4 linked regions of the Diceros bicornis minor genome follow. The protein of the gene in region 2 purifies or fractionates together with the protein of the main gene of each other region. This does not show direct contact. Links are inferred from orthologs where the notes say so. Each region holds a gene or a part of one and is shown on either strand. Other genes may lie near its edges.

What was found.
Region 1: the proteins of PRR3 (region 2) and MRPL20 purify together in Homo sapiens (co-immunoprecipitation; 3 studies listed by BioGRID and IntAct, with this or other methods). This does not show direct contact. The link is inferred for Diceros bicornis minor from reciprocal best matches to the Homo sapiens genes PRR3 and MRPL20.
Region 3: the proteins of PRR3 (region 2) and RBMS1 purify together in Homo sapiens (co-immunoprecipitation; 3 studies listed by BioGRID and IntAct, with this or other methods). This does not show direct contact. The link is inferred for Diceros bicornis minor from reciprocal best matches to the Homo sapiens genes PRR3 and RBMS1.
Region 4: the proteins of PRR3 (region 2) and YTHDC2 purify together in Homo sapiens (co-immunoprecipitation; 3 studies listed by BioGRID and IntAct, with this or other methods). This does not show direct contact. The link is inferred for Diceros bicornis minor from reciprocal best matches to the Homo sapiens genes PRR3 and YTHDC2.

What each region holds. Positions count from the first base shown.
Region 1 is NC_080752.1:22,353,697-22,361,651, forward strand, and holds the start of MRPL20 (large ribosomal subunit protein bL20m), read right to left. Parts: upstream 3,149-7,955; 5' UTR 3,115-3,148; coding exon 2,917-3,114; intron 955-2,916; coding exon 877-954; intron 1-876.
Region 2 is NC_080753.1:34,523,922-34,531,887, forward strand, and holds the start of PRR3 (proline-rich protein 3), read right to left. Parts: upstream 3,100-7,966; 5' UTR 2,906-3,099; coding exon 2,797-2,905; intron 2,064-2,796; coding exon 2,001-2,063; intron 110-2,000; coding exon 1-109. Other genes in the region: GNL1 (guanine nucleotide-binding protein-like 1), read left to right, coding at 4,069-4,141, 4,560-4,725, 5,115-5,251, 5,407-5,558, 5,674-5,745, 6,668-6,875, 7,030-7,125, 7,507-7,701.
Region 3 is NC_080749.1:43,049,017-43,056,611, forward strand, and holds the start of RBMS1 (RNA-binding motif, single-stranded-interacting protein 1), read right to left. Parts: upstream 3,159-7,595; 5' UTR 2,768-3,158; coding exon 2,693-2,767; intron 1-2,692.
Region 4 is NC_080740.1:35,982,094-35,989,838, reverse strand, and holds the start of YTHDC2 (3'-5' RNA helicase YTHDC2), read right to left. Parts: upstream 3,006-7,745; 5' UTR 2,812-3,005; coding exon 2,619-2,811; intron 1,416-2,618; coding exon 1,325-1,415; intron 1-1,324. UniProt on the Homo sapiens protein: 3'-5' RNA helicase that plays a key role in the male and female germline by promoting transition from mitotic to meiotic divisions in stem cells.

The sequences.
Region 1 (7,955 bases), on a different chromosome or scaffold from region 2:
TTTTACAAACAATGAAATGAAACACAGAAAAGGTATGTGAGACACAAGCAGTGGAACAAAACCGGGCCTTCCCCATTATTCCCACAAGAGCCAGACCACATCATCAATCAAGCCAAATGGCAGGTGACTTCAGAAAACTGGAACACTGCCAGTGAGCCTGAGGGGCAGAGAGGTGGGATGGTCTCTGCGCATTAAATGCAGCTAAGCAGGAGGAGTGGATCCTGTTCTGCCACCTGGGACCTGTGTGCCTTGGGCAAAGTCCATCTCCTTTCTGAGCCTCAGTTCCCCATCAGTAAAATGGGGATGTCACACCCTCTACCCTTACCCTGAGAATCTTGCTAAAGCACCAAAGACAGGGCCTGATACAAGGAGAAGCACAACACACACTCCCCTTAACTTTTTCAGAAAAAATTTAAATGCACACAAAAGCAGAAGGAATAGCATAATCACCAGGTTCAACAATTACCAAGATTTTGGGACTCATGCTTAATCTATCCCCTCCAAGACATTTCCTCCTCCTTTTTCACTGTGTGAGTTTCAACTTTATCTGCTACCTCATCAGAAATCCTTCAGTTATATTAAATAAAGTTTAAATTAAACTTTAAAGTTAAAGCTAAGTTTTTCTACCTTTTTCCCTTGATGGGGAAACTCCAGAGCTCACGTCTTAGTACCACATGCCCCATTTCCAATTCTGCTACCAGGAGCAAGGGCAAAGCAAGCGTAGTGAGTCCCTGAACCTGCCAGAACTGGCCCCCCTCCCCAGAGGACAGCAGCAGTGCCAGGGTGCTAACACTCCACTGCCCAGCTGCTGGACCACACCAGCTGGGCCGGTTTCTGTAGAGGGTCAGCATCGCAGCAGGACATCCTCAACTGTACCTTAATTAAATTGCCAATGAATGCCGGGTACTTCAGACCATGTTCCTGGGAGGCAGCTGTAATTCGATTAATCCAGAGCTGAAATAAAAAAACATCAAGATGCTTAAGAACTAGTTCTCTATGTTATGTCCACGCCTTCCAACAAAGTTCTGAGTGAACCAAATGGTTTTTTTGTAAAAGTAAATAGAAAAGCCAATGTTTTCTATTAGCAAACAGGCCTGCAGTACAGATAACAGTGAGCAAAGGCTGATGCATGTCACCCAAGCACCGTTTTTTTTTTTTTTTGGTGAGGAAGTATGGCCCTGAGCTAACATCTGTGCCCATCTTCCTCTACTTTGTATATGGGACACCACCACAGCACAGCTTGACGAGCAGTGCGTATCTCCGTGCCCGGGGTCTGAACCCGAGAACCCCGGGCCACTGAAACAGAGCGCGCACAAACTTAACCACTACACCGTGGGGCCGGCCCCCGCCAGCTGCTTTCTAAAGGAGAAACAGAAAAACCATGTGCTGGAAGGCGTTCATTCAACGCACATTTTTAGGCACTGAGAATACAAAGATGAGCAAGAGATTCTGCAGCACACACAGCTCAGAGTGTAGAAAGGATCCATGTGGATGAATTATGACAGCCACTGAGGTAAGTGCCACCAGGCAAGGATGAAACATTTGAAGTGGAAGCTTCAAGGAGGTGAAGAGTTTTGGGGAAAGAGCAGGCCTGAGGGAGGGAGGAAAGGGGCCTCAGAGGACCCAGCTAGCAGGGAGTAGCAGGGTCTGTTCCAGGTGCAACAAAGGTCTGAAGGCTGCAGGGAAGTCAAGGCTGATGGGGAGGCTGGGGAAGATCTGGAAGGGCGATGTGATGTGGAAGCTTCTGACGGCTCTGGTGCGTTAAACAAGGGGGAGGCCAAGGGGGACTCTCTTAAGCCATTCGTTACTAGTCTTAGGACAGTACTCAAGTCCACTTTCTTCCTCAATTTCACTGGTTCTCAAGTTTGAACCCACACCAGAAGTATCTAGAGGTTTGTTAAAACAGATTGCTGGGCCCCACCTCCAGAGTTTCTGAGTCAGCCGGTGCCGGTGGGGCCTGAAAATCTGCATTTCTAACAAGTTCCCAGGTGAGGCTGCTGCTGTACAGGGAGCCCCGCCCCGCGAGAGCCTCGGCTCTCCTCTGTAGCAGCAAGGGCGTGCGTGCCACCAGATACTGGCCACAACTCTCCACATACGCATCAGTGACCAGAGCCCTGTGGGGTCCTAGGCGGCAGCACCACCTCTATCCCGTTCCGACAGAACAAGGCACAAAAAACAGAGCTGAGCTGGGATGCAGAGGCCCCTCCCGCACAGACCACCGTGCAGAGATAGTTTATCACGCTGTGGCCCTAATCTCGGGTTAATGACACTTTTCTCATTTTAAAGGGTCAGAATTACCTCCCTTATGCATTCAGGCAATACTGACAAAGTGCTACTGATTTAGACCCCTGGTTACAGCATTCAGCAGAACAGAAAGATCTCTTCCGAAACTGCCCTTCTAGCGGGGGTGGGGGGACGAGCAATAAACCACCAACCCAGTAAAAGACGCGGCGCTGGACGCTAAGTTCGCAGGGGAGGGAGCCGAACCAGGAAGGTGGCACGCGCGATGCACGAGCCCCGAGGGCGGCCCGGCTTCTTCCAGGAGCCGTCGGGAGCCAGGAGCGGCCCGGAGCGGGGAGGGGGGCGAGCGGCCGGGGACAGGCCCGGAGGGACCAGGCCTGTCTGCGTCCGGCCCGTCCTACGTGTGACGGGAAGCTTCCCGCCGCTGCTTCCAGGCAGAAGGGAGGTGCGGGCGGCAGAGACGGCGCGGCCGGGCCAAGCGGGGGGCTCCGGCAGGCCCGGGAAGAGCGCGGCGAGGGGCGCGGGACCCGGACGGCCCGCATTCCGCCGGAGAAACGAAGGAGCGGTCCTGCGGCGCCCGCCTCGGGCGGAGGAGCCGCTCCCCGGGCAGGCCGGCTAAAACGCTCACACGTCCTCGCCGCACCGTCCACCCGGAGGGGCCCCGGCCTCGCTCACCGTCCTCATGCTCCTCTTCTTCACCCTTCGGGCTCGCGTACATTTCACAAACGCTCTCGTCACAGCCCGGACGGCAAGCCGGTAGCACCGATTCTTCCTCCCCCGGAAGTGCCGCGCGTGCCTCAGCACCTCCTGGACCCGCCAGTAGCGGTCGGTGAGGCGACTCCGTAGCCAGAGCGCTGTGGTGAGGAAGACCATAGCGCCCGCGGGCCAACAGCCCCTCAACCAGGCACGCGCCGCCGCCTCCGCGCAGCCAGCGGAAGCGGGAGGGCTCCCAGCGCTTCCGGGTCAGCAGCCCGCCAGGGGGACTTCCGGGGCGCCGCGCGTGCGCCCTGGGTCCCCACCGCCGCCGGGCCCCCCACGGTTGTGCGCATGCTCTTGTGCGTGCAAGATGGGCCGGGCGGGTGGGCGGTGGCGAGTTCCTCCCTGCTGCGCTGGGCCCGGCGGCCCTGCCGGACCTCCCGGACGGGGGCGTGGGGCGCGCTGGGCGCGGGGCAATACAGACTAGCCGTCAGCCGATGAGGTGCAGGCGTGTGCTGTGCAGGGGACGCGGGGCCTTGCGGCCGCGGGCGGGCAACAGCTTGCGGGAGGGCGTGGTGCGGCCCTTCGTGTGCATGCGCGGGATGGGAGACCCAGGGACGGAGAGCGGCCCCGAGTGCCTCCGACGGCTTGGGTTCCCTCTGGCGGTGATGGGATGTCCTGAAGCTGGACGGCGGTGATGGTCGCCTACCGCTGTGCAAGGACGGACCGCCCAGAGCAGGACCCTTCAGAACGGTGCACTGTTCACGGTCTGTTTGACCACAGCGGGAAATGGTGCAGGGGGCACATTACGGGTGTGCAATTTCCCTGTCACTTTTTATTTGCATATAATTTCAAACTACGGAAAAGATGCGAGACCAGTTCAAGGAACTACCAGTACGCTTTACCCGAATGCGCCAACTGTGTACATTTTGCTCCGTTTTTTAGTCCTTCTTTCTATAAACGTTTATGAACACAGTGGGGTTTTTGGGGGGACCATTTGAGAGGAAGTTGGCGATATCTAATTACTGTGTATTTCCTAAGAACAAGGACATGTTTTTACAAACCACAGCACAAGGATCGAAATCACGAAATTTGACATTAATACAATACTGTTGTCTAGCCTACAGTCCATATTCCAATTGTGTCAAATGTACTTCATCATTTTTTTCCCTGTCCAGGATCAGGCACTGCATTCAGCTGTTGTGTCTAAGTTTTAGTCTTAATCTGGAAGAGTTCCTCAGCCTTTCTTTGTCTTTCTTGACCTTGGCATTCTTGAAGAGTATGAGCTAGTTATTTTGTAGAAAGCCTCTCAGTTTGAGTTTGCCTGATGTTTCCTCATGATCCGAATCAGGTTTTACATTTTTGCAGAATATTACAGAAATTAAATAGTGTCCTTCTTGGTGGCTGGTTTCAGGAGGCCATGATGGCAGCCTATCCCAACATGAGTGATGTCAGCTTTGACCACTTGGTTAAGGTATCGTTTGCCAGGTTTCTCTACTTTTGTAACTAATAAATAATTTGTTGAGAAATACCTGGTGAGTCATTACAGGCCTTCTGGTGAGCAGACACTGAGGGAGGTAGGAGTGCAGAGGTGGGTTGTGTAACGCCTGTTAAAGAGGGAGGAAGAGGACTGGGCCTGGAGGGCCTCAGAAGGGATGCAGACTGGACAGCATCTGGGCTAACCCAGTAATTCCAAAGTGAAGATTGCCTGTTAGAGAAGTCTCGTGTTGGGCAGAAATGGCCAGACCCCAGTATCTTAGCTGTGCTCAGCATCTGGGACTGCCAGGAAGAGCATGCCGTTGGCTGAAGTGCTGCAGTGGACTTGAAGCTGAATAACAAGTGTGGTCCTGAATGGCTACCTGAGCAGCACACCCCCATCAGCCGTCGGGCTTTGAGACAACATCCTGTTCTTCATCAAACTTGCACTCACTCATTTGAGCATCCATTGTTGATTCTCTAACTCCATCATTCTTTCCATATTTACTGGCATTCTACTGAGAGAAGAGCTTTGCCATTTGGGGGGTGCAATTTTAAACAGTGTTAGAAGAGTGCACTGAGAGGGTGATATTTGAGTAAAGGAGAAAATAACTGATGAAGCCAGGCAGGTATCTGAGGGAAGAGTATGCCAGGCAGAGGGATCAGCAAGCACAAAGGAGCTGAGGCAGCAGCATGCCTGGTGTGGTCCAGAACAGCAGAAATGCCAATGTGCTGGGAGTGGAGCTGGTGAGGTCCCAGGGTCAGGCCTCTGTAGCTCAGTGAGCAAGTCGCAGGCCAGAGACAGAGGCCGGTGAGAATGTGTAGGGCCTTGAAGGTCGTGTAAGGACTTGATATTCTGGTTATCGTGCTGCGTCTGGGCTTCCCCACAGCATGGCAGCCACAGGGCCGTCAGGCTGCTTACATGGTGGCCTAAGGACAAGGCAATGTGGAACCCTATCACCTCCCTAGCCCACCCTGGAAAGTCACGCAGCATCACTCCGGCAGTACTCTGCGAACCTGAATAGTCACAGAAGTCCACTCGATGTCAGGGTGGAGACAGAGCCCCAAGTTCTGGGTGGGAGGAACACAGAGATCACGTTATGGAAAGGGCACATGAGATGGGCGAGGTCACTGGGCCTCTGTGAACAACACAATGTGCCATGTTTGGCTTTTGCACTCCATGAAAGGGAGCCGTTGGTGGGGTCTGAGCAGGTGAGTTGCTTCATCCAACTTATCAATAAGATTACGGCTGCTGTTTTGAGAACAGACTGCAGGGAGTCAAGGGCTCAAGCAGGCAGACGAGTCAGGCTCGGGGCTGGCTTGGCTATGGCAACATTCCAGCAAGGCTGGTGGTGGCCTGGACATAGTGGGTGAGGTGGAGGAGGTGGGAGGCACTCAGGCTCTGAAGGTGGAGCCCACAGGCTGTGCTGGCCGTCTTTGTGGAGGTCCATCCTGCAGCCTTAAAAACCATCGCGGGTAGGGGTGGGGGTGGGGGGGGCCGGCCCGTTGGCGCTGGGGTTAAGTGCACGCGCTCTGCTTTGGCGGCCCAGGGTTCGCAGGTTCGGATCCCAGGCGAGCACTGACACACTGCTTGTCAAGCCATGCTGTGGCGGCATCCCATATCAAGTAGAGGAAGATGGGCACGGATGTTAGCCCAGGGCCAGTCTTCCTCAGCAAAAAAAAAAAAAAAAAAAGGAGGAATGGCATTGGATGTTAGCTCAGGGCTGATCTTCCTCACCAAAAAAGAAAGAAAAAAAACCATCCTGGGGGTCAGCCCTGTGGCCTAGTGGTTAAGTTCGGCACACTCCGCTTTGGTGGCCCAGGTTTGGTTCCCAGGTGCAGACCTATACCACTTGTCAGCAGCCATAGTGTGGCGGCAACCTACATACAAAAAAGAGGAAGATCGGCACAGATGTTAGCTCAGGGCAAATGTTCCCCAAGCAAAAAGAGGAAGATTGGCAACAGGTGTTAGCTCAGGGCAAATCTTCCTCAGCAAAAAACAAAACAAAAAAATCCCCATCCTGACTCTGAGGACTCTAAAGATGTCACCCCAGCCTCCACCTCTCCCTCAGTCTCATCTTGTGCATCTGCTCTCCCACCCTCCCCTCCACCTGGGGCCCGAGACTTGCCAGGACTCATTGCTGTCTTTCCCCATCCCTGGCCCCCTGCATCCAACCCATCAGCAAGTCCAGAGGGCTCTGCCCACAGAGTCATCCCAATCTGCCTGCTTCTCCCACCTCCACTGCTATGCCACCACCATCTCACGGGTACCCTGTGCTTCCCTTTTCCAGGTGCAGTCCGCTCTGCACTTGGCAGGCTCTGTGAGCTGAGGAGACCTCGTCACACTCACATAAACTCCCCAAAGTCTTCCTGTTGCCCTGGGAGTAAAATCCAAGGGCTTCCATAGCCCCTGGGCACAGAGGTGCTAATTTGGCATGACAACTCTCACTTTTGAAAGATGAAATCTATCCTGTAAAACTGTTCACTCAGAAAAATCAAATAATGGCAACGATCTTCTATGAGGTGGGCAGTCAGACGATGGTCCCCGTTTCAGTTGTACCCCCGGGTTTTAATTTATGAGATGGCTGAGTGATGACAGGGAGAGGGTGATGCCATTGAAAGAAGATTCTTATTACATTTCACACCATGCCCCCCAGGGCCACAGGGGAAGCCCCAGTGTCAGCCAGGACGAGGAAGCAGGATCAAGGAAGCTCAGGCCAGAGCCTTTATTGGGGTTCCCACGGGAAAGGCAAGGCAGGGCGGGAAACAGTTTAGGATTGGTTTGTTGGGTAATCCCAGTGGGCCTTGGTGCATTGGGGTTGTCCCCAGGTGTCTGGTACCTGGCCCTGGGTGATTTAGGGCCGGGAGGACATCTGCTGGAGGTGTGAGAGAGAAGGTGGCAGTTGAGAGTATGGGCACTGGATCACAGGGGAGATGTAAACAACTGTGGCCGTTAGTTTGGCCCTGTAATTAATGGATGTCACTAGACAAATATTGAATCTAAGAAAACACAGTAAGAACGCTCCCATGTACAGAACGAGCAACTGAGGGTGACACCCCCATGGTGGACAAAGGGGAGACCATCGGGTTTTGGTCAGATTGTTGCTACAACTCAGTCTCTCCACCAGAGTCTAGAGAAGCCTGGAGCTGCAGGGGTGATAGGTCCGTGGGAGTCAGTGGGGCAGTCCCAGGGCCGGCTACAGGCCCATTACTGGGGCTCAAGCCACTGCCTCCTCCTCCAGGAACCTCTTGGCTGTTCTCCCCTCTGCCCAGGCAGGTGGCCTCAGCTCAGAAGGCAGGAGCCCGGCACACTCCGAAGGCTGTGGGAGCCAGGAGCTATCTGTCCTGCTCTGGCCACGTGGGCTCAACCCTGAGGCGAGAAGCCAGGGCCCCTGGGGCCCCTCTGTGCCCCCAACACTCCTGTTCTCCGCAAAGGGCAGGCAGCGCCTGGGACAGGCCCCCTCGGACACCAGATCCTGGGCCACCTCACCCCACTGCGTCCTCAGGGTGGGGCTGGCCCCTCGGCTCAGCAAAAGCTCTGT
Region 2 (7,966 bases):
AGCAGTTCGTTCACTTTCATGGCAGTGTAGCATCCCATTGCATGCACACACAACAACTTATTTATCCATTCTACTGATGGTGGACATGTGGGTGGAGTCCAGTTTGGGGCTATAACGAAAAACGCTGCCATGAACATTTTGATACATGTCTTTGTTACACATATGTATGCACTTCTGTTGAGTATATACATAGCAGAGGTATTGTTGGGTCCTAGAGCATATGTATGCTCGAGTTTCATAAAGTCAAACTCTTTTTTTCAAAGTGGTTGTACCAATTTACACTCCCATCAGCAGCTGTTACACAGTCTTGACCACACTTGGTATTGTCAATCTTTTTCATTTTTCCCATTCTGATGAGGGTGAAAAGTGGTGTTTTTTTAAAATTGTGGTAAAACATGTAGCAAAAAATTTTCCATCTTAATTATTTTTAAGTGTATATCTCAGTAGTGTTAATTCACATTGTTGTGAAACAGATCTCCAGAACTTGTTCATCTTGCAAAACTGAAACTTTATAGCTACTAAATAACTCTCCTTTTCTCCCTCCATCCAGCCCTTGGCAAACACCATTCTACTTTGTTTCTATGAATTTAACTACTTCAGATACCTCATATAAGTGGAATCATATAGTATTTGTCTTTTTGTAACTGGCTTATTTCCTTTAGCATAATGGCCTCATCTATGCTATAGCATGTGACAGGATTTTCTTCCCTTTGGGGGATGAATAATATTCTATTGTATGAATATACCACATTTTGTGTATCCATTCATCTATCAATGGACATCTGGGTTGCTTCCATCTCTTGGCTATTGTGAATAATGCTGCTATGAACATGGGTATGCAAATATCTCTTCAAGATCCTGCTTTCCATTCTTTTGGATATATAGCCAGAAGTGGGATTGCTGGATCATACGGTAGTTCTATTTTTAATTCTTTGAGGAATCTCCATACTGTTTTCCACAGTGGTTGTACCATTTTACAATCCCACCAACAGTGCACAAGAGTTTCAATTTCAAAGTGGTGTGTTTTTATCTTGCATTTATTTAATGACTAATGATGTTGAATTCTTGTTCACATGTTTTTAGCCGTTTAGATTTCAGTTTTTATGAGGTGGCTGTTCCAGTCTTTCGCCCATTTTTCTAACAGGTTGTCTAGAAGAGTTCTTTATATACTCTGGATATGAGCTCTTTATTGGTTATATTTGTCGCAAGTATCTGCTACTCTATGGCTTCCTATTAATTTCTTAATGGTGTCATCAGATTAACAGAAGTTTTTATTTTCTAATGTAGTTCAGTTTACCAATCTTTCCTTTGTAGTTAGTGTGTCTGTATTTCTTGTCTAAGGACTCTTATCTACTCTAAGACCACGAAATAAATTAATTTTCTAGAATTATTTCTTCACCTTTTACACTTAGATCTATAAGCCACTTGGAATTGATGTTTGTATATGGTATGAATAGGAGGTCAAATTTCATTTTTTCCCCCACATGAATGTCCAATTAATCCAGCATCATTTACTGAAAAGACCACTATTTCAGTTTCATCTTCATCATAAATTAAGTGTCCACATATGTGTGGGCCTTTTACTGGACTCTTTTTGCTATCCTAGTGACTTAAATGTCCATTATCACACTGTCATAACTACTATAGCTTTACGTTGTCTTGATATTCAGAGTAAGCCCTCTCACTTCAAGACTGTCTTTGCATTCTCTCAGGCTGATCCTTTGCATTTCCATGTCCATATTATAATGTAGAATGTCTATTTCTACAAAAACATTATAGGGATTCTAACTGCGAATGCATTGATTCTATAGATGAATTTGGGAAAAATGGACATTTTTACGACATTGAGTTTTCCAAACTGTGAGTATACAACATGTCTCCATTTATTTAGGTACAAAAAGCCCTGATATTTTTATTTTAAAGGATATATTCTTTCTAGGTTTCACTCCCTCCCTTTTCCAGGAGCTAATCAAAGGATTAGGGGGCCCCCTCCTCCTCACCTGACTTGGGGTCACCAGGCTTTCCATTGGCCATGGGGGGAGGGCCCAGAAGGCTGGGTGGTCCTAAGAGTAGACATGAAAATATGGTCATCAGAATGGACTAAAGGACTGATGATCCTATTCTTATTATGTTTTTCTTCTATTAGTCATTTCTTAATCCAACCAGTAAAGGTATATTCTTAGCAGTGTTAAGAGTTCTCACCCCATCTATCTGCCCTTTCCTCTGCAAAGCGTTTTCAGGGTTTGCCAAAAGTGGAGACTCAGTCAAGGGGGATAAAGCTGGAAGGTTACCTACAACTTTCCCTTTTCTTTACATTGTTGCTATCCAGACCATCTCAGTGATACCAGAGGTAATCCAATTTCTCTCTTTAACTGCTGGCCAATCAGATAGCTCCCCAAGCCCACGCACACCCCGGTCCCCCGCCCTGACCCGGAGTAGTTTTAGAGAAGGCTGCACTTCCACCTTCCCTGTGAAAGTCTGATCACAAACTGTCATCCCAGTTGTCGCAACCTGCAACCTCTACCACTCCTCTCCCCTGCCACTCTGCGGCTGCGCACACGAGCTCTTTACCTTCTCCCCTACCTTGTTTATTAAGCTTTAGGAGCCAGATTGAAGTTGAGGGTTCAAGTAAGAGAACTCCTCCTTCAGGGCTCCATCCCGGACAGTCCCCTCTCTGCCCCAGCGGGTGCGCCCTTCCTCCTTTCGTTAGAGCCCCCTCCCCCGCACCTTTTCAGCCCCTAACTCCTCGCCCTGACCGGCTGACAGGCATGTGCACACCCCTCCCGGGCTCCTCACCAATGGGACTCCCATCCTCCTCATCTCCAGTATCTTCCCGCTCTGGCAGTGGGGGCTGCTGCTGCGGCGGCTGCTGCTGCTGCTGATTCTGCTTCTTTCGTTTCGGCATCGTGGTTGCGGCAATGGCTGCAGCGGGATTTGGAGGGCAGTGAGGAAGGGGCACGCTGGGATTCTGTTTCCGCTTCCGGGGGGGCGGTGGACAGTGAGGCTGAGGCTCCCGCCATTTCACTTCCGGAAGGCTGCGGGGTCCTTTGTGCGGTGGCGTTCTCACACCAACTGCCTTCCTCGGTCTCTGCCAGGCATGGCGGCAATCTCAGACCGTCCCTTTGCTGCGTTTGTATAAAAGCTTAGAAAAAAAATTCCTCTCTTCTCCCCTCGCTGAAAAAATCCCACAACCGTCTCCTCACAGTGTGCCATAGAGTCGACAGGCTCTCGGCCCAGAAGGCCTGAGAAGAGAGGGATGTCGCATCCTAAGATCGCCACATCCGGTACCCGGTTACTGTGGTAACCGCTGCAGGCACAACTTCGTGCCCTCTGACCTCCCTCCAAAAGTCCTTGTCCTACCTGGATGTCCCTCCTCTCCCGCGCTTGCCCTTATAATCTGTAAACCTGTTCCTTATCATCGTTCCCACAAGGAATTTGGGTCCCAGCAGGGCGGCGCTCACGACTTTTCAGACCACCACCCGCCCCTCAAGACCTCTGACCCTGCCCCCAGTGTAGCCCAGAAACTTGGCTTCAGTCCCGGGACGCGCAGTCTCGGCTTTCCACTAAGGTCACACCCGGGGGTTGGTAAAACAGCTTCTGCGTGTCCACGCCCCTCTCTGCCCCAGGTGGTAGGACCCGCCCCCCGCTCCGCCGCTCCCCTCCAGGTGAGTGGTAGCTTCTCGCCGGCGCGAAAGGTAGTGATGACACGCGTCCCCCCTCCTCCGAACGCGAGTTGGTAGCGTCCGTGACGAAGTTGTCCGATCCTCCCACGCGCGCCTCCTTCCTCGCCGCCGCTGCGCCCTCTCGGTACTACTGGCTCTCACGTGCGGGTAGCCCACCCCGCATCATCCTCTCGCCTCGCTCGCAGAGGGAAGTGACTGTATTTCCCCTCGTCCGCCTTCCACCCCAGCCGCCGGGGCGAATTGGCCGGGCCCGCCCGCTGACGTCACCTCAGAGCCCCGCCCCCTCAAGGGTCCCGGGCCCTTGCGGCGGGGGCTGCCCCGGGGGGGGAGTCAGTTGAGGCGGCGGGAGCTCGGCGGAGGGCGGGCCAGGTGACTGGTCCGGGCCATGCCGAGAAAGAAGCCCTTCAGCGTGAAGCAGAAGAAGAAACAGTTGCAGGACAAGCGGGAGCGGAAGCGAGGTCAGTGCGGGAGGGAGACGAGGGGGCGGGGCTCCGGCTCCCGCACATCTGGAAGGAGGGGTGTGCCTGCCGCACCTCTAGGGGGCGTGGGAGGGGGTGGTGGTCGCGCGCCGAGGCGCGCGGGCGACCGCGGACGGGATTCCTTCATCCCAGCCCCCTAAATCTGGAAGGAGTGGGGAAGGATGGAGAGTTGGGGGAGGGGAATCCCTCCAGCTCGAACGGGGCGCCATCCCCGCAGCTCCCTGGAGGAGGAGTGACTCCCCCCACGCACATCCGGGAGGGTCCTGGGCACCGTGGCTGGGAGGACCGGGCCTCAAAAGAAGTAGGGTGGGGTGAGGGGGAGCCAGGCCGGCCGAAGAGAGGGTCTTATGGCCCCTGCGAGCCTGCCAGCCCTGGCGTCACCGGCTCCTCCCCGCAGGGCTTCAAGATGGGCTGCGATCCAGTTCCAACAGCCGCAGCGGGAGCCGGGAGCGGCGGGAGGAGCAGACAGACACCTCAGACGGGGAGTCTGTGACCCATCACATCCGCAGGCTCAACCAGCAGCCTTCCCAGGGGCTGGGCCCGCGAGGCTATGCCCCGAATCGGTGAGAAAGGGCGGGGGGCGCTGGCCTGGGCCTCCCCGCCCACCCGGAAGTCAGCCGGCTGGGGGAAAGCCGGCTGCTGTTGGTGGAGGCTGGAAACTGGAGGTGGCGGGGCTGGGATGCCACGAGTCTCCGCGGGCCGCCGGGCTCACCGGAGCAGGCCACCGTCTTCCCTTCCGGAGGGGCTGGAGAGAGTTTGGCTTTTAGAAGAGCGAGGCTTAGGGGAAGGGCGAATATTCCATGAAAGAGGGACTTGGGGGAGGGCCGACTCCGAGAGGAGATTTGAACAAGTCTGGAGAGCAAGCTTTGCGAAGTTGTCTGCCCAAGGGGAGAGAAGACGGGACTTTGTGGTCACAGGACTGTGATGGATGCCGTGGCATCTCTCCCGTTAGATATCGGCTGCATTTTGAGCGAGACAGCCGGGAGGAGGTGGAGAGGAGGAAGAGAGCAGCCCGGGAGCAAGTGCTGCAGCCGGTCAGCGCTGAGGTGCTAGAGCTGGACATCCGGGAGGTCTATCAGCCCGGTTCAGGTGAGGGAGAGCCGGACATCCGGGTGTTTGGGGCAGGCAGTGGGCTGAGGGAAGGAGCTCGGAAGAGCTGACGGTCAGGAAGGAGGGGACTGGGATGCACCCTTGAGTCCTGAAACTGTCCTCGTACTGACTTGGACTTTTTCTTGACTTTCCAGTCCTGGACTTTCCCCGACGTCCTCCCTGGAGCTATGAGATGTCCAAGGAGCAACTGATGAGCCAGGAGGAACGGAGCTTCCAGGAGTATCTTGGGAAGATTCATGGGGCTTACACCTCTGAGAAACTCAGCTACTTTGAGCACAATCTGGAGGTGAAAATGGAGTGAGGACAGGAGTGGGGCGGAGTGACCGATGCTCAGATTGGTCTGGGATCAGGCGGGGAGGGACTCTGGGCTCAGGGTCTCTTCTACTGACCTGTCTTTGCAGACATGGCGGCAGCTGTGGCGAGTGTTAGAGATGTCTGACATCATCCTTCTCATCACCGACATCCGACATCCAGTGAGTGCTGGGGGGAAGGCGGACATGGGAGGAGGGAGGAAGATTCCCTCCTCCCATGTGGGGTAAAGGGCGGAGCAGGAGTTGGGAGACAGAGAGGTGTCCTCTTTCCTTTCCAGTCTCCTCTCCCCCATGCTGCTGTCCGCAGTCAGGAGCTCAGTCCCTTATTCATCAGTATGACAGACTGTCACTCCTCCCCTGGCCAACTGACTCTCCTCTCCTTTACTTCCCTTGATGAAAAACTGCATATTCTGTTTCTCAGTCCGCTGGGAACTAGACCAATAGAAAGTCCCCATGTGGAGCTCCAGGAGCTTCTACGAAGGCAGCTGGGGGCTTCCGCCTCTCTTGCCGCATCAGTTGCCATGGGACTCAGCCTCGCCTGGAATGCTAGGGTAGTGGTTCAGGCTCTAGACTCTGCTGCTGGGCATCCCTTGTGTGAATCCTCTCTGCCACTTCACCATTGTCCTCCAGTGGGAGAAAGGGAGGTCTGTGGGGACATGTAGGTTGGAGGTCGTTAATGACATGTACACACACACTCGTACACATATACTCTGCCTCCAGTTCCCCACTCACCAGGCACAGCTCAGAGACAAGACCCTGGTGGGAGCAGATTCTGGGGCAAAAAAGGTAAATGAGCCAAACTAAACTAGAAAGACAAAGCAGGGGTAAGTAACACCTCTGCATTTGTCTCTGAGGGGCTTCCTATGGGTCCTGGTTAGGGATGGAAATGAGCTGAAAACAAGATAAGGAAATAGCGACACCTAGCACATTGGGGTAAAGGCTGGAAGCAGGCACAGGGATGGGAGTTGGGGTAGAAATTAATGTCTATTTTCATGTGCATACAACGGTCTGCATTTGCTCACATGCGTATGTCAACTCTGGGTTGACCTCTCATTGCTCCATCCCGTGACCACCCCTCTCCCAGGTTGTGAATTTCCCACCAGCACTTTATGAGTACGTGACTGGAGAACTTGGCCTGGCACTGGTGCTGGTCCTCAACAAGGTGGATCTGGCCCCGCCGCCTCTCGTGGTTGCCTGGAAGCATTATTTCCACCAACACTATCCCCAGCTCCACATCGTCCTTTTCACATCTTTCCCTCGGGACCCCCGCACCCCACAGGACCCTAGTAGCGGTGAGTGGGCAATGAGGAGGGCAGCATGGGAGAGGCGGGTGGCAGGGGACAAAAGGGAGCACAGAGAGGCTTGTTGACAAGGGGGTTCCTGATCTTGGGCCTAAGGGTGGTGGGAGAGATGGAGTGCTAACCTTTTTGTGCTCTCTGATCTCAGTGTTGAAGAAGAGTCGGAGGCGGGGGAGAGGATGGACTCGGGCCCTGGGGCCAGAGCAGTTGCTGAGAGCCTGTGAAGCCATCACTGCGGGGAAAGGTATGTGCCCCTTAGAGGGAGCTGTGGGAGGCCATGGGGGAGACCCAGGGCCTGCAGTCCTTTTGCTAACCTTTCCCTAAGTCAACCTGTCTATTATGGATGCAGGCCATAGGCCAAGGGGAGGGATGGAAGAGGGAGCAGACTGACTTGGTGGGACAAGCGAGGCAGCAGGTAGTCAGGAGCCCCAGTGGTTACTGCCTTCAGTCTTCCCAGTACTTTCCAGAAACTCAGAGAAATGCCCATGATTCCACGGTGGGGTCAAGTGAAGGCTTGGGAGTTAAGCGTAACTCCAGCCAGTTACATCAGCTGTGCAGTGCGTAGTCTGAGCCCTCATATACTGTGGCCCTGGGGAGAACCTTCTTTTTCTCCTTCCCTGAGCAGTGGACTTGAGCAGCTGGCGGGAGAAGATTGCCCGGGATATGGCTGGGGCCACCTGGGGCATTGGCTCTGGGGAGGAGGAGGAAGAGGAGGATGGGCCAGCAGTCCTGGTGGAGCAACAGACTGACTCAGCGATGGAGCCAACCGGCCCAACCCGGGAGCGCTACAAGGACGGGGTGGTGACCATTGGCTGTGTGGGTAAGGAAGCAGCGGCCCAGGCATGGCAGCCTCCTAGGAGGTCCAGAGTTTCTATGTTTGGAAAAGAGGGAAGGTGATCAGGTCTCATTAGGCTCCAGGGTCTCTGAGGGCAGAGGAGGCCGTCTGCTGTAGTGGAAGGATCATTGCATGCCTGAGTTCAATTCCCCCTCTTCTCAGCTGTTACTGATCTTGAACAAGTTATGAGTCTTAGTTACTTTGTCTTAGTCTAAGTTGCTTAGTCTGAGTCTTAGTTACTCTGATTTTA
Region 3 (7,595 bases), on a different chromosome or scaffold from region 2:
AATACATTTTCCAAAACAGACTCTGACTAGATGATTAACACGAGAAGAATGATTTGACATATGTTAACTTTTTAAAGTATGGTAACAAAACTCATTTTCAAGCGCCATTTTAATTGGTTATCTATTCCTTCTGATGAAAAGAAATCCCATCCATTTATTCTTTCTCAGTTCAAAACAATCATATCCATCTCTTGAGCACAAGTTTAAGTCAAACACCACTTTGTAAACGATGTGCCATTCCTCGGTTTTTGATATAGTTTCCAAACAGAAGTTTCAAAACAACTCTGACTAGCAAACACATCACTGTACTTTAAACAGAGTGATGTTTTCTATCCCATATTTCAGGAAGGTTAAAACACACACACACCCAGGCAAGGATTATCACTGTAGACAACAGATTCTAAGTGAGTTCATGAACTCTTTAGGCAGATTGGGCGATGCTTGTTTTTAAACTAACTACAAATCAAACGAAGTGTCTATTCTTTTTAATGACTCACACCACGTTACCAATAGATATGCAAGGGAGAAAAAAAAAGGGCTATGTGTTCTGAACTGTGCTTACCTAAAATCTGCATCTAGTCACTTTAGATTTTGGGAGATGCCCCTTTCTGAGATAATCAAGATACTTTACAACAGGGAATTTAGATTTAATTATCAAACTTTAATACCATGTTATATAGGTCAAGTGAGTATGTGTGTCTTTCTCCAGAAACAAAGAGATTCAGAGTAATAGGATTTCAGATTTCACAGTAGAAACAACAAGATATGTTTTGAGAATGTCATTTACCGTAACACAAATCAATATTAAATGCTTTATGCAGGAAGCACACTTTCAGAAAATGGGCCCTAAAGCTTTCTGGGATCCGACCCTAATTACTAGAGCAAGCTCTTGCTGTTGTCTCTCTCTTCAATTATTTACAGGGCAAAAAGAGCCAAATGGCATTGCATTAGCTATATTAAATGCTATGTACTTGGTTTCTAACTTACTAATGGTACATAAAAATTACTAAGGTGAATGTGCCTGAAGAAACATGGCCTTTTCTCTTCTTCACCTGAGCGTATGTATTTATTATTCATATAGCTAAGTGTTGAATAGGCTGTCTTTTAGGCACCCAATGCTGCATAATTTAAACAAGCGCATTAAACATATATGATATTTAAAAGGTAGTGCATTGATTATGCCTCAAAATTTCTTTGAACAACTTATATTTACAATGTAGCTCACAGAAAACAAGCACCTCCCTCCAGTCCCTGAAAACAAATAGGTGGGTGCCACACAGAAATGAATAATGAGTATGCTTGCTGCTACCATCTTGCTGCTTTCTGGCGACCCAAAGTAAAATGAGAATTGGGGGGGTGAAAACGAGGCCCTCGAGTGCTAGGAAATTTCCGTCTCTATGTTGACTAGTGTCCTTTTCACATGGACAAACACAAAGCTATGTTGTAGGTACATAAAACGGACCACACACACTGCAAGACAGAAAAGGTTATCAAGGTTGAATCAGCGATTCTTTGTACCAGGCCAGAAATGCCCTCTGCCCGCAAGCAGGGCAAGATTACAACCTCCCAAATAAAGTTCAGACACTGCATCCATACTTGATTGTTTTGTGATCTAGAAGGGCACCTGGAGTCGTGATAGGAGACGCTAATTGCGGAAGAAAGCTGGTGCATCCAACTTCCGCCCTCCCAAATCGTGGAAGAAGCTTCGAAAGCAGTGAAACCCTCAGTCTTCATGGACCCAATTTTTTTTAACGATTTCAGGAGGCATCAAATTCTTATTGTAAAAATAAGATAGGTCCACTAACAAAGTACCTAGGGTCCCTAGAAAGCCAGTCGCAATTTCTACGGCTACATGTCATCAGTGTTACCTAAAAGCATGCCAAGGCCACTTCTGAGAAAGCACCGTTGGAAATCGATCTGTGGTAAACACATAAGGTAGTATTATTCTAAACTAAATACAAACTCACTTCTTTCTCTGCACTGAAATCTGCCCATTGTTCCTGCTTTGCAAAAGCCACAGGGAAGATTCAAAGGGACATCAGTGAACACTGAGTGAACTTTGGCCACTCTTCTACCCAAAACACCAGCGTAAAAGTAGAGATCAGTAACCAGGTGAAGCGCCACACCGCACAAAGATCAAGGCGAGGGGCGGGCGCGCAGGGCCGGAGGCGGGGAGGAAAATGTCCCGTCCCCCACCCCAGGCCCCAGTCATCGGGCGCGCGGGAGGTGGAGGGGTGTCCCCGGGGGGCAGGAAGCTCCGCGCAACTCCGAGGCAAGCCAAGAGTTACTGCTCAAAAGGCAAGGCCCAGGAGAAGGGGTCGAAAGCCGCGCCGCCAGCGGCTCCTGCCGCGGGCCCCAGGCGTCGGCGGCCGAGCAGCCAGCGCTCGGCGAGGGGCGCCGCTCGGCCCCGCGACCCTCCCCGCCTCCTGGCCAGGAAGGGGCTGGCGGCTCTTTCCTGTCTAGTCTCTCCCCCCGCGGCTTGCTGTAACCCGATCCCCGCACTCCGCTGCCCGGGCAGCCGCCGCCCCGCGCGCCGCCCGGCTCTACCCAGGCCAGCGCTATAGTTAGCAACCTTTCATCAACTCCACCGGGGGCGACGGGGGGTCGCTCCGCACGCCCCTCCCCGGACCCGACCCACGCGCGCTCCCGGGGCCCCCTCCTCCGGCACTCCCCACCCCCAGCGCCCCTTTACCTTCGCTTGAAGATACTGGGGGTAGTAGTAGGTGGCGTACTGAGGGTACATCTGCTGTTTCCACACTTTGCCCATGAAGCTGGAAGGGAGCCTGCTGTGCAGGGTCGCGGGCACTTTGGGGTTTCCAAGTCTCGATCTCTCCTGCCTCTCCCTTTCCGGCGGCGGCGGCGGCGGCGGCGGCTGCTGCCGCTGCTCCACCTCCTAGCCGGGACCAGACGTCCTCCCCCTCCTTCTTCTCCTCCTCCCAGGCAGAGAGAAAGACACTGCAGAGCGCAGAGGGCACCCCGGACAGGGCGCTCGCAAGGAGTTGCCTCCCGGAGCCCGGTTGCTCCGGGGCTGCCAAGAGCTGGCGCGCTGGCCGCGCTCGGTTCGGGCGAGCAGGCTGAGCCGGGCTGGGAGGTGATCAATACAAGTGAAAAGTGTTGCTGCGGCGGCGGCGGCGGCGGCGGCGGCTGCGCTCGGTGCCAAGCGGCATCTGGGGTGGGTGCGCCCGATTGGGAGAGGGGAGAGGGGCTGGCGTGCCGGGGCCGAGGGGGAAGGGCGGGCGGGGGCGGGGCTTGGGCGCCGCGGAGCCGGGACCGGCTGGAGGTGAGGGCTGAGTTTTAACCACTCCTCACCTCCCAGGCTCGCGGTTGGACGGGCAGAAACCCTCGGAGCCCGGATCGCTTTGTGTCGGGGGTTGGGGGATGGATTTGGGGGACCCAGCTTAAGAACTGAAGAGTGGACACCTCGTTTGCTTTCATGAGTTTTTATCTCCGTAAGGGGGAGGGGAGGTAAGGAGAAAAAAGAGGAAATCTGATTAATCTCTCACTCCGTCCCCCCCGCCCCCCCCCCCCCGCCCAGTGATTTTTGTTTTTCCACAAGGGAAGGAAAGTGATTTAGTGCCCAACCACAACGCTGGAGTCGGGACACCTGGGTTCTGTTCTCCCCACCCGCCAGGTCACAAGACTAATTTTCTAGGTGACCTTGTGAGGGTTAGTGTCCTTCGGTTTGGTTTTCCCAGATGTGAGAGGTGAAATCATGTCCTCTACCCAAGGGGAGGCAAAGCTCTCGCGCGCGCGCCCACACATACACACTTCACAACAAATAGACGGATCCTTCTAAGGGGGAGATGCCGCAAAGAGGCAGAATGTTATTATTAGAGGACACAATATAGACATCAGCTTTTCTCTGCCTCTTTCTAATGCTGCCAGACAGTCTGTCAACTCCCACTCAGGAGCAAGGAAACTCCCTGAGTTTGGAATATTTTAAGGCCATTTTGAAAGTCACGCTGGCATATTGTTGCAGTGTGCTTCAGTGACATATAAAATCAATCTCGCTCTTTCTGCCTCTCCATCTCCTAATTGTCACAGCTCTAGACAGCCCCAGAGAGCAGTGGTTCGGTTCACTACATAACTGGATATAATTTAATGGAGTTAATTGGTCCCTGAAGCTGCCTGGAGAAGACTTTTATACTCTAGCTCAAAAAGAGAGAATACCAAAATGTACAAACAGGATAAGTAAGAAAGCACCTCCAGATTGGAGTTCTTGCACATCTAATAAAATGTAATGAAAAATTCATTTGTTATTAAATACACCTTGATTACTTTGTTTTGTCATTTTGGTTTTCCGAGAGTCTGTTTTCGTAACCTCACAAAAGTAAATCAAACTGAAATGGCATGCATGATTTTGTTAAAGTTATATTTTTACATGATTACATTTCAAAACAGGTTTAATAAGATACTTAAAACAATGAAATAGTGAGCTGAAAACTTTATAATCTTTTTATGATTTAGACAAATTTCTAGGTTGACAAAACACAATAAATGTAAGTTCATATGAGAACATTTTGGATATGCCAGGAGGCTGATCATGTTCTCTTGAAAAAAAACATTAACAGTTAACTTATGTGAAATCGTCTACGGAAACTAGTATTTACTGAGCTTCTGCTATATTGTGGGCACTGTTGAGGTTAACGTCAGTCTGAAGGTTGGAGTGGTTCACTGTCTAGCTAGAGAAGCTTAAAACAGTTCTTTATATTGTTTCAATGTGGGACCCTTTAACGTTTTCGGGCAGAGAGCTGACGTGAGCTAATCTGTGCTTTAAGAACCTAGGAGGACTAGGAATGATGGTTTGGAGGAGAGATTGAAGGAAGAGAACAAGTTAAGAACAATGTCAGCAGTTCTAGACTTGAGGTGAGAAGGGAAATTACCCGACTTAGGCTAATCTATTTTTTTCTGGATGATGAAAATTCAGCCTGTTTTAGAGAGCCCAGATGCACATCCACAATTATGTAGACACTTGATTTATGACCAAGTTGGTATTGCAGAGCAATGGAGAAAAAATTAGCTTTTCAATAAATGATTCTGGGTCAATTGGCTGTCCATATGGAAGAAATGAAATTGGAGCCTTGCTTCACAAAAGGGGAAGAAAAAAGTTCAAGTGAATTAAAGGCCTGGATGTAAAAAACAAACCTATAAAGCTATTAGAAGACCATATAGAAAAATATCTTTATAGCCTTGAGGTAGGAAAAGATTTCTTTAATATAGTGACCAAGAGTGCAAGATTGATCAATTTGACTATGTTAAAATTCAGAACACTGATTCATCAAAGGATTCTATAAAGAAAGTCAAAAAGCAAGCCACAAAATAGTTATTTGTAATCCATGTAACTGCAAAAGGTTAATATACAGAATACATAAAGAACTCCTTGAAATCAGTAAGAAAAAGAAAAACAATTTGTTAGAACATGGGCAAAAGAATGAATGTGTGTATTTCACAGAGAAGGAAGCACAAATGTCCCTCTGACATATGAAGATGCTCACACTCACCAGCAATAAATGAAATGCAAATTAAAATAATAATAAGATATCATTTCACACTCACCAGATTGGCCAAAATTAAGAACTATGAAAATATTAAGAAAAGGTGAAGATGTAGAAAAGGGAAAAATCTCCAAAACACTCCTTACTGGAGGAAGTGTAAATTGGTACAGCCACCATGTTAGAAACAGTTTAGCATTACTCAATTTCATTTGCATGTATGCTGTGACACAGTAATCCTACTTGTAAGTATATACCTCAAAGAAATGTACATGAATGTTCATAATATACTGAAAATAACTCAAGTGTCTACCGACTGTAGAATGGATAAAAAGACTAGTGTATGTGTACAATGGAACAATTTGCAGCAGTGAAAATGGATAAACTACAGTTAAAAGCATTAACATTGATCATTTCAAAACTGATGTTGAAGAAGCAGATCAACATAAAGCATGATTCCATTTGTATGAAGTTCAAAAACAGAAAAAAAATGGTATGTTGTGTAAGAACAAGTACATGAATACTTAAAAAAAACTGTAAAGAAAAATAAGGGGATTATAACACAAAATTCAGAATAGCTGTTACCTCTAAGGAGAAGAAGGGTGAGATATTCAGGGGTGGACCAAAGAGGACTTGGAGAGACGGTAATGTTCCATGTTTTGCACTGGGTTGTGGATACATGGGAATATACTGTTCCATGTTTTGCACTGGGTTGTAGATACATAGGAATATATTTCAATATTTTTCTTTAAGTGGTTCATAGACTCTTTTGTATGTTTGCTGGAGTTGACACTAACACATTTTAAAAACTCAGCTTTTAACTTTAATCGTGATCAGTTTCAAACAAATACAAAAGCAGAGAGACTAGAATAATGACCCCTCTTTTCCTAATACCCAGCTTCAACATTTATCAACATTTTGTCATTCTTGTTTCACGCACACAATTTTTATTTTTCTGGAGTATTTTAAAGTATATCCCAAACACCATATCATTTTACCTGCAACTATTTTAATATCTATCTCTAACAAATAAGAACTTTTTTTGTAACACAGTATCATGATCACATCTAACAAAATTGACAATGATTTTTTAAAATCAACTAATACTCAGTTCTTGATCATTTTTCTCTGATTATCTAAAAATTGCTTTTTGTAGTTCGTTTATTTAAATCAGGATGAAACAATGTCCTCATTAAATTTGGTTGCTATATCTCAAGCCTCTTTTAATGTATAAAAGTTCACTCTCACTCAGTTTTTAAAGTGATATTTGTTTGTTAAAGAAATCAGGTCATTTGTCCTATAGAATTTCCCACCTAGCTGATTGTAACCTCATGGTGTCATTTAAAGTGATGGTTAGTTCTAGAGGTTTAGTTGCACGCAGTTTCACATTTTGGCAAAGAAATACTTTATGGATGGTTCTGAACACACATAGGTGATGTGCGTGCCATCACATCAGGAGACACATAATGTCTGGTTGTCTCACTTCTAGTGATGTTAATATTGATCAGAAGTTCAGGTATTTCCAGTCTGATTTATCCATTAGAAAATTCTGTAGTTTTAATAGCCATTCATGAGTGTTATCTCAATCCACTATTTCATTAGGGGTTACAAAATTGTGGTTTTTATAATTTTATCATTCCTTGTGCACTTATTAGTTGGAAATTGTCTACAGAGAAGAACTTTCTCTCTTCAACTCTTTGGTTAACTTGAAATACAATTAGCATAGGAAAAACAGGATAAATTTCCCCCTATTTACCAATTTTTAAAATAAAGAGTTGATGCCATAGGAAACTCCAAAGCTAACTAGTTTTAAATAACATTCTGAACTTCTGGATTTTTTTTTTTTTTTTTTTTTTTTTTGCTGAGGAAGATTCACCCTGAGCTAACATCTTTGCCAATCTTCCTCTGTTTTGTGTGTGGGCTGCCGCCACAGCATGGCCACCAATGAGTGGTGTAGGTCCACACCCAGGAACCAAACTGGGGCTGCTGAAGGGGAGCAAGCTGAAATTAACCACTAGGCCATGGGGCTGGCCCCCTGAACTAGTGGATTTTTATATATTTGCTTTGTTTCAATCCATTGCAGTCATTATTCTTGTTAATGCT
Region 4 (7,745 bases), on a different chromosome or scaffold from region 2:
GGAATATTCATACACTTTCCAGCAGAAATATTAATGTGATTAAAGGTGATGCCTATACCTTGTTAAGAATGTTACATAACATATTGCAAATATACCCTAATACCTTTCTAAAATCTGAAAAATCTGAATCTCAAAACATATTTGGTCCAGGTGTTTTTGGATAAAGAATTATGACTCTCTACTTTACTTTTATTTTCAAGTGCAGAATTTTATCTATGCAGAGGACAATAATTTGGGCATGCTCAGGAACCTAACCACTGTTCCCCCGCACTGGCCTTAACGATGTTCAAAATGCACATTCACCTAAGCTAAAGCCTCTGTCTCAGTCAGTAATGTAATCACTGTGGTGGGTACTCATATGCAAGACATCCCTACATCAGCTAATTTCATCTTAGGACCTTCCTACTATTTATTTATTAATATAGTTACTTAATAAAGTTTTGTTTTCCCTCTTCTTAACCTAAAAAGTGGTAAGTTGAAATTTTATTTTTTTTCCCTCTCTCAGTGGTTCTCAACCAGGAGCAATTTTGCTCCCAGGGAACATTTTGGCAATGTCTAGAGGCATTTTTGGTTGTCACAACTGGAGGTGGAGGTGTTACTGGCATCTAGTGGGTAAAGGCTAGGTATGCTGCTAAACATCCTACAATGCACAAAACAGCCCTCCACAATAAAGAATTATCCAGTCCAAAATGTCAACATTGAGAAACCCTGCTATATCTGAATCCCACTATCCTTATTCCCAAAATGAAGTAGCTCCACAGAATTTCAGAGTTCTTCAACTGGAATGGCTCAAATCACTTCTTCTCTGTACGGATCAGTGAACTTTCAAAAAATATATACTGTTTCCTCCTGTTCTGTTTTACCTCATCATTTCTAATCATCAGATTCTTGAGTTGGTAGGAAAGAAAACAATGAACATGCACTCTAAAGCTTACCATTATGGTACAGTAACATTAAAAGAGATAAGTTCTGTAAATAATTGTACTTATTATCTTTATTCCATACATTCTTAGAAAAAGATTTAGCTTCTATGAGAAAAGAAAATATTTTTCTCAAGCAATCAGTTTCAACTTTTAAGCTATTTTTTTCTTACTTTTAAGTAAATCTTAAAATTTATTTCTTTGTTGTCTCCTAGGGAAAACAAAAAAAGGGGGATAGGAGAAATAGGAAAGAGCTGAGTTTGATAGACATGAATCAGTTTATCTACACACAATATAATTAAGGATGTGAATCTAGAACAGTAATAACTATGTAAATGCAATCAGAAACATTTCTCTTTTTTTGGTAACTAGTTTTTTTTAAATAAAAAAAGCTATCAGCTTACCCTTTACTTTTAGAGACCAAACCAAGAGACTGACTCAATCGATGAATAAAGGCTCTTTCAGTACTGGTCAAAGAAGAAGGAAATTCCATTTCTACACGGAAAAAAACACAAAGTACCATTTGAGGATAGGCAATTTTCTTCAAAGGTGCTTCAATACACATATATAGAAATAAAACATGAAAAAAGCCATATAGCGTATAATCAAACGTATTATATTTTATGTGAAAAGTAGATATTAATTCAGTAACTACTGAATGTCTACCAGTTATGATATGAATAAAAATTAAGCCTAAACGTGATAAAGGACTCTAATGTTCACCAAAGATTACTCCTCTTATTTGTGCTGGAATCTTGAACTGGTACAATGGTTGATGATATTTTACTATTTTAACTTAGTCCTTACTTGCTTAATTAACAGAGTGTTTATTTCCTTCCATGATGAGGATGCTCAAGTATTAGGAATGCTCAACATCAAACTCCACTGTCTTTGCCTTCAAAACTGTATAAAATTCATATTCTATCTCATTAGTGATAATTCATCACTATCTCAGACTGGATTTGTTCTATATCGCCGAAGCTTTACCTTTGTTTAACGTTAAGTCCAGAATCACTCTGTCCAGGTCATTCCCTGTTTTGGACTGTGAACTTCCAGAGTAAGGGACCCCCTATCTAGGCCAGCAAATCGGAATGAGCATCATTCTACTGTACCGATTACCACAGGTCGGCTGCTGGTTCCGTATCATGTGACCCAAGACAAGTAGCTTTCTAACCTTAAGAGGTGTGGAAGGAGTCTCCTATACCAAAACAAGTTTCATTTTAAGTGTCTAACGTGATGCTTCTAGGAATTAATCAAAGCACTACAGATTGCCAGTGCATTTATTTGTCTGATTTCCTTCCGCTCTTCCACCTCTGTGGCGCAAACGTTAAGGCTACCACAACCTCCTTTAAAAAAAGAAAGAAGAAAAAAGGTAGGGGCTTACTAATATCTAAAAACTGTGGCTTAGCCGCCCAAAGCTGCCGTAGATAGGCCTCTCCCTCGGGGGAAGAAACGTCTCGTGCAAGGGGGCAACCTGACTTTTCCACCTTCTGATGCCAGGCAAGTGCCCCACAACGCTGCCGATGCGCAGGACGCCGTGCGGTTCTTCAGCTCCCGCCGAGGGTAACCACCGCGGCCCAGGCCCCCGGCCCGCCTCTGCCCGGGTCTTCCCTCCCTCCGCTGGCGCAGCCCCTTCACACCGGGCGCCGGGTTAGGGAGAGGTGGGGCAGCCGGCGGGGTCCCTGTCGGGAACCTCACCTCTCTGGTCCCCGTATCGGAAGCGCTCCAGAGCGATATTGACTGCGATCTTCACCTCCTCGTCTATACGAATGTCCTTCAGCCCCTTGGCGCGGCCGCCGCCCCCAGGGCCACACTGAGAGAGGCCGCCCCCGCCACCCCCGCCACCGCCAGGAGCCGGCGGCCGCGGGGAAACGCTGCTCGGCCTCGACATGGCCCTGAGGAGATGTTCTCCCCGCTGGGGGGCGGCCAGGCCTGCTGGCTGACGGCCAGTGACAGAGACAGGGAGGCTCGGGGGCCACTGCTGGGACCGGACGGCTCCACAGGCGGCCTGCGCTGGGCCGGGGTCACCCCAAAGCCCCCAATCACCACAAGACCCAGGGAGGCGCCGGTGCCACTTAAGCCCGGGCGAGGCCGAGAGCGCGGGCGTAATGACGTCACCAGGGCCGCCGGTGCCCGTGACCTCAGCGCGTCGGCCGCCGTCTGCCTTGGCCGCTGCACACCAATCTAAAGTTCCCCGCCGGTCTGATCCTCTCCGTCTTCCCCCACACCCCGCACCGAGGGGCTCTCGTTCATCCTTTCTTTCAGTCACTCATTACTTTGTTAAATCGTTCATTAATTCATTCAGTAAGCATGTGTGGGCTCCTACTGTGTGCCTGGCAGGCACTATGCTGCTCCCTAGATATGCGTTGGGGAACCAGACAAATCGTTCCTGCCCTCCTGGAGTTTACATTCTAGTGGGGGTAGAATTGCCAGATTTAGCAAACAAAACTACAGAATGCCCGGTTTAACTTCAGATAACTAATAGTTTTTCAGTATTACGCAATTCCCGTGCAGTATTTAGGAACACATATAGTTAAAAAATATTCATTACCCGAAATGCAAATTTAACAGCGTCTGTATTTTATCTGGCAACCCTCGATGGGAGTGACAGACAATAAACAAATAAATGATTAAATGATAGTGCTATATGAGATGATGGAATAGGAAGGTGGAACCCTTTAGTTTGGGAGGTCAAGAAAGATGATAAGAATTTCCATTTGCTTGTATACAAGTCTACTAACATAAACTAAATCCCAGCCACCCTAACTGCTTCTGCTCTGGTCTTCCTATGATCCATTCTCCAAAGAGCAATCAGAGTGATCTTTTTAAAAATATAAGCCAAGTATGATAACACCTCTACATAAGCACTCCAGTAGCTCCCCATTGCAATGACAAAAAAACCCTCAATTCCTTACCATGACCCTCAAGACCCTGCCTGATCTGGCCTCTGCTTACCTCCATGAATCTCATCTCCCACCACTCTCATCCTCACTTACCGTGCTCAGATGCACTAATTTCCTTCCGTCCCTTGAACACACCAAGTTCATTACCATCAAGCAAACTTTCCACTTGCATAGTTTCCTCCTGCACAGGACAATTTTCCTCCCAGTACTTCATATGGATGCCTCTTTCTCATCATTTAAGGCAGGATTCCATCCCTTACCTAGACAGGCTCTCCCACATCAAGCTGTTATCATTTACCACTGTTTGAAATTATTTTGTTTATTATTTGCTGTTGCTAGAATATAAGCTCCTTGAGAGCAGGAACCTTGTCTATCTTGTTTGTCACTGTTTCATCAGCAGCTACAGCTGCATAGACACACAATAAATATTTATCAGTGGGCCATATTTTAGAATCTGGAATTAGGATTGGTCGTCTCTACTCTCCAAAAACTTTCTTCATAATCCTTGAGCTCCTAATTCTCTTTGGTTGGCTGCTAGAAAGAGATCTGGATAAGTAGAGATAGGTCCTATAGTCTAGTCCTAGCATGGTTACCAGTGAACTGGGTGAACATTTACTACTACCCTTATCTCCGTGTATCCTAATTTCCTTAGCTGTGCAATAATAATGCCTGTCATTTATTAAGTGCCAGGGGCACTGTTTTTATTTTCCAGTCCTCACAAAACTTTATGAAGTAGTTATGTTACCTCATGATAGAAATGAGGAAACAGGCTGGTAAGGTTAAAAATTGGCCCAAGTCCATGCTATTGGTAATGTCAACCTTAAAAATAAAACAGGCAGTTATTTTACCTGCAAAACAAGTTTATTCAGGAATAGCCAAAGAATTGCAATTCGAGATGCACATGCTATGGCGGACCATAGGCAAATCCAACAATCAAAGGAGAAGAACACTATTTGATAAGGAAAAAAGGAGAAATTGGGAGAGGTTGTCTTGAGTGAAAGCGATTGGAGAAAAGCAAGAGTTCAGTGTAATGATGGCTTCTTACTGGTGAGTTGCTGGGGTAGTAGATTTCTGTTTGGGATTCACTGTACATTTCTACCTCTAATTGACTATTCTTTCCAGTTATTGACTTCTTTCTGTTGAAGTCTGTAATTGACTAGCTTTCCTGTAATTGACCTCCAATATATGGGAGCTCCTCCTTCTGGCCTCCTGACTTCATTTTAAATGAAATTTCCCCTTATTAATTTTCACAGTAATTAATGAGGTAGGGATGAAAGCCAGGCCCAGCTGATCATGAAGCCTAGCTTCATTTCAGGACAAAACACAGACAGTAGATAATACCTAGATGCACCTAATATATGGTGGTAAAGCTGAAAACATTTTACATGGGGTCAGACACATATTGCTTTCAATCTCACTCCATAACTTCTTAGTTCCACCACTTATTGACTCCATCATTTATTAGCTTTGTGGCTTGACTACTTACTTTGCCTTTTGAGCCTCAAGTTTCCCATCAGTAAATGGGTATATTTAATACTCATCTTATAGAATTGTTGTGAATAGGGCATAATGTTTTGCTTCTTTTTTCCTTCTTGCCATTCTTTTTGGATAAATGTCTAAATGTTTGTATTCCTAGTGCCTAGTGAGGATATGAACATGTTCATTGAAATAAAAGAGAATACCTGGGGCCAGCCCAGTGGCATAGTGGTTAAGTTTGCATGCTCCACTTCGGCGGCTCGGGGTTTGCAGGTTCAGATCCTGGCACAGACCTACACACTGCTCATCAAGCCATGCTGTGGCGGCGTCCCACATACAAAAAATAGAGGAAGGTTGGCACAGATGTTAGCTCAGGGACAGTCTTTCTCAAGCAAAACAAGGAAGATTGGCAACAGATTTTAGCTCAGGGCCAATCTTCCTCACCAAAAAAAAAAAGAGAGAGAGAGCGAATGCTTGCCTAAAGTTACATAGCAGTAAATTATAAAGTTAATCAGATTCTACATTATCTAATATTTTTGTATACCCCTGGAAATTTCTGGGTGCTTGGAGTGAAACACTGCAATTCTACTTTTTACATGTGCTTCAGAGAAAAACTAAAAGTAGGGAAGACATGAAACATTTACAAATGATTTCAAGTTATATTTAGTGTCAGTTAGACCTAAAGTTTTAATCTTTGTTTTTACCACTTTGTAGTTGTGTGGCCTTCTGCAAGGATTTAACTTCTTTATGCTTTAATTTCCCCATCCATAAAATGTATATGATAAACACGACTATATCACAGTGTTATTATGGGGATTAAATTAGATTGTATTACCTTTATGCAGATGAAGTGCTTAGCACAATTCCTGTCTCACCTTTAGCATTCAGTACTAATTAGATGGTTTTGACTTCAAATTACAGAAAACCCAAGCAGAAAAGGCCCAGAATAAGGACATTTATCATTTTATATAACAAGAGGTCTAAGGGTGGGGTGGTTCCAGGGTTGATTATTTCAACATTGTACACCAGTGCCCTCAGTCATCCAGAATCTGTCCAGCCTTGGAGTGTTTGCCATTCCCTTTTGGTTTCAACTTCAAGGAAGCACATCATCAGACAGCACCAGATAAGAGCAGGAAAGATAAGTGCCCGTGTCTGATGTTGCTTTTTAAGAGAGAGAAAAACCTTCCCAGAAGTCCCAGAAATAGACATCTTTATGTCTCCTAGCCAGAACATTGCTAACCCAATAACCAGCAAAGAGCAATGGGATTACCAGGAAAGGTCTGGGCTTTCCTGAAGCAGATGTTCACCTAGAAGAGAGTGGACAAAACTCGGGTTCCCTTAGCAAGGAATAAGAGATGGGGAATGGCTGTTGGGTAGGCAACCAATGATATGATGTGATGTTCACCAAATATTTCTGGTTTTCTTCCTTTGCAGGTATGTAGCAGAATTGTACTTCCTGGCTCTCTTACAGTCGGGTGGAAACATATGATTAGTTCTGGCCAATGAGTAGTGAGTTGAAGTGATATGTGTCACTTTCATGTTGACCTCACTTTTCGCTGTAATTCGCAGCAAACTGCCAACAAAACGTATAAGAAAGAAAATGAATTGTCTTATTCTAATTGGTTTTAAAAACCAAAAACTACAAAAGAACACTGCTGATAAAAATTAAAGACCTAAATAAATGAAAAGATATACTGTGTTCAGGGATCAGAAGACTCCATAGCATTAAGATATCAATTCTCCTTACAGTGGTCTATAAATTCAACACAATCTCAATTAAAATCCCAGCACAGTGTTTTCTAAAACATTAACAAGCTAGTACTTCATATGGAAATGCACTAGAATAGCCAAAACAACTTTTTTTCTTTTTAATTAGTTTTTTATTGAGGTAACATTAGTTTATAACGGTATATGAATCTCAGGTGTACATTATTATATATATATTTTTTTGTGTGTGTGTGTGTGAGGAAGATCGGCCCTGAGCTAACATTTGCCAATCCTCTTCTTTTTGCTGAGGAAGACTGGCACTGGGCTAATGTCTGTACCCATCTTCCTCCACTTTATATGGGATGCCACCACAGCATGGCTTGACAAGCGGTGTGTGTGTGCACCCCGGGATCCAAACCAGCGAACCCCAGCCCGCCACAGCAGAACGCACGCACTTATCTGCTTGCGCCACCCGGCCGGCCCCTACATCATTATATTTTGATTTCTGTGTAGACCACATGACGTTCACCACCCAAACACTAATTGCCATCTGTCACTGTACTCATGTGACCTTTTACCCCCTTCACCCCTTTCACTCTCCCCACTTTCCCTCTGGTAACCACCAATCTATTCTCTGTGTCTGTGTGTTTGTTCGTTGTTGTTGTTTTTATCTTCCACACATGAGTGAAATCGTACAGTATTTGGCTTTCTCTGTCTGACTTATTTCACTTAGTATAAT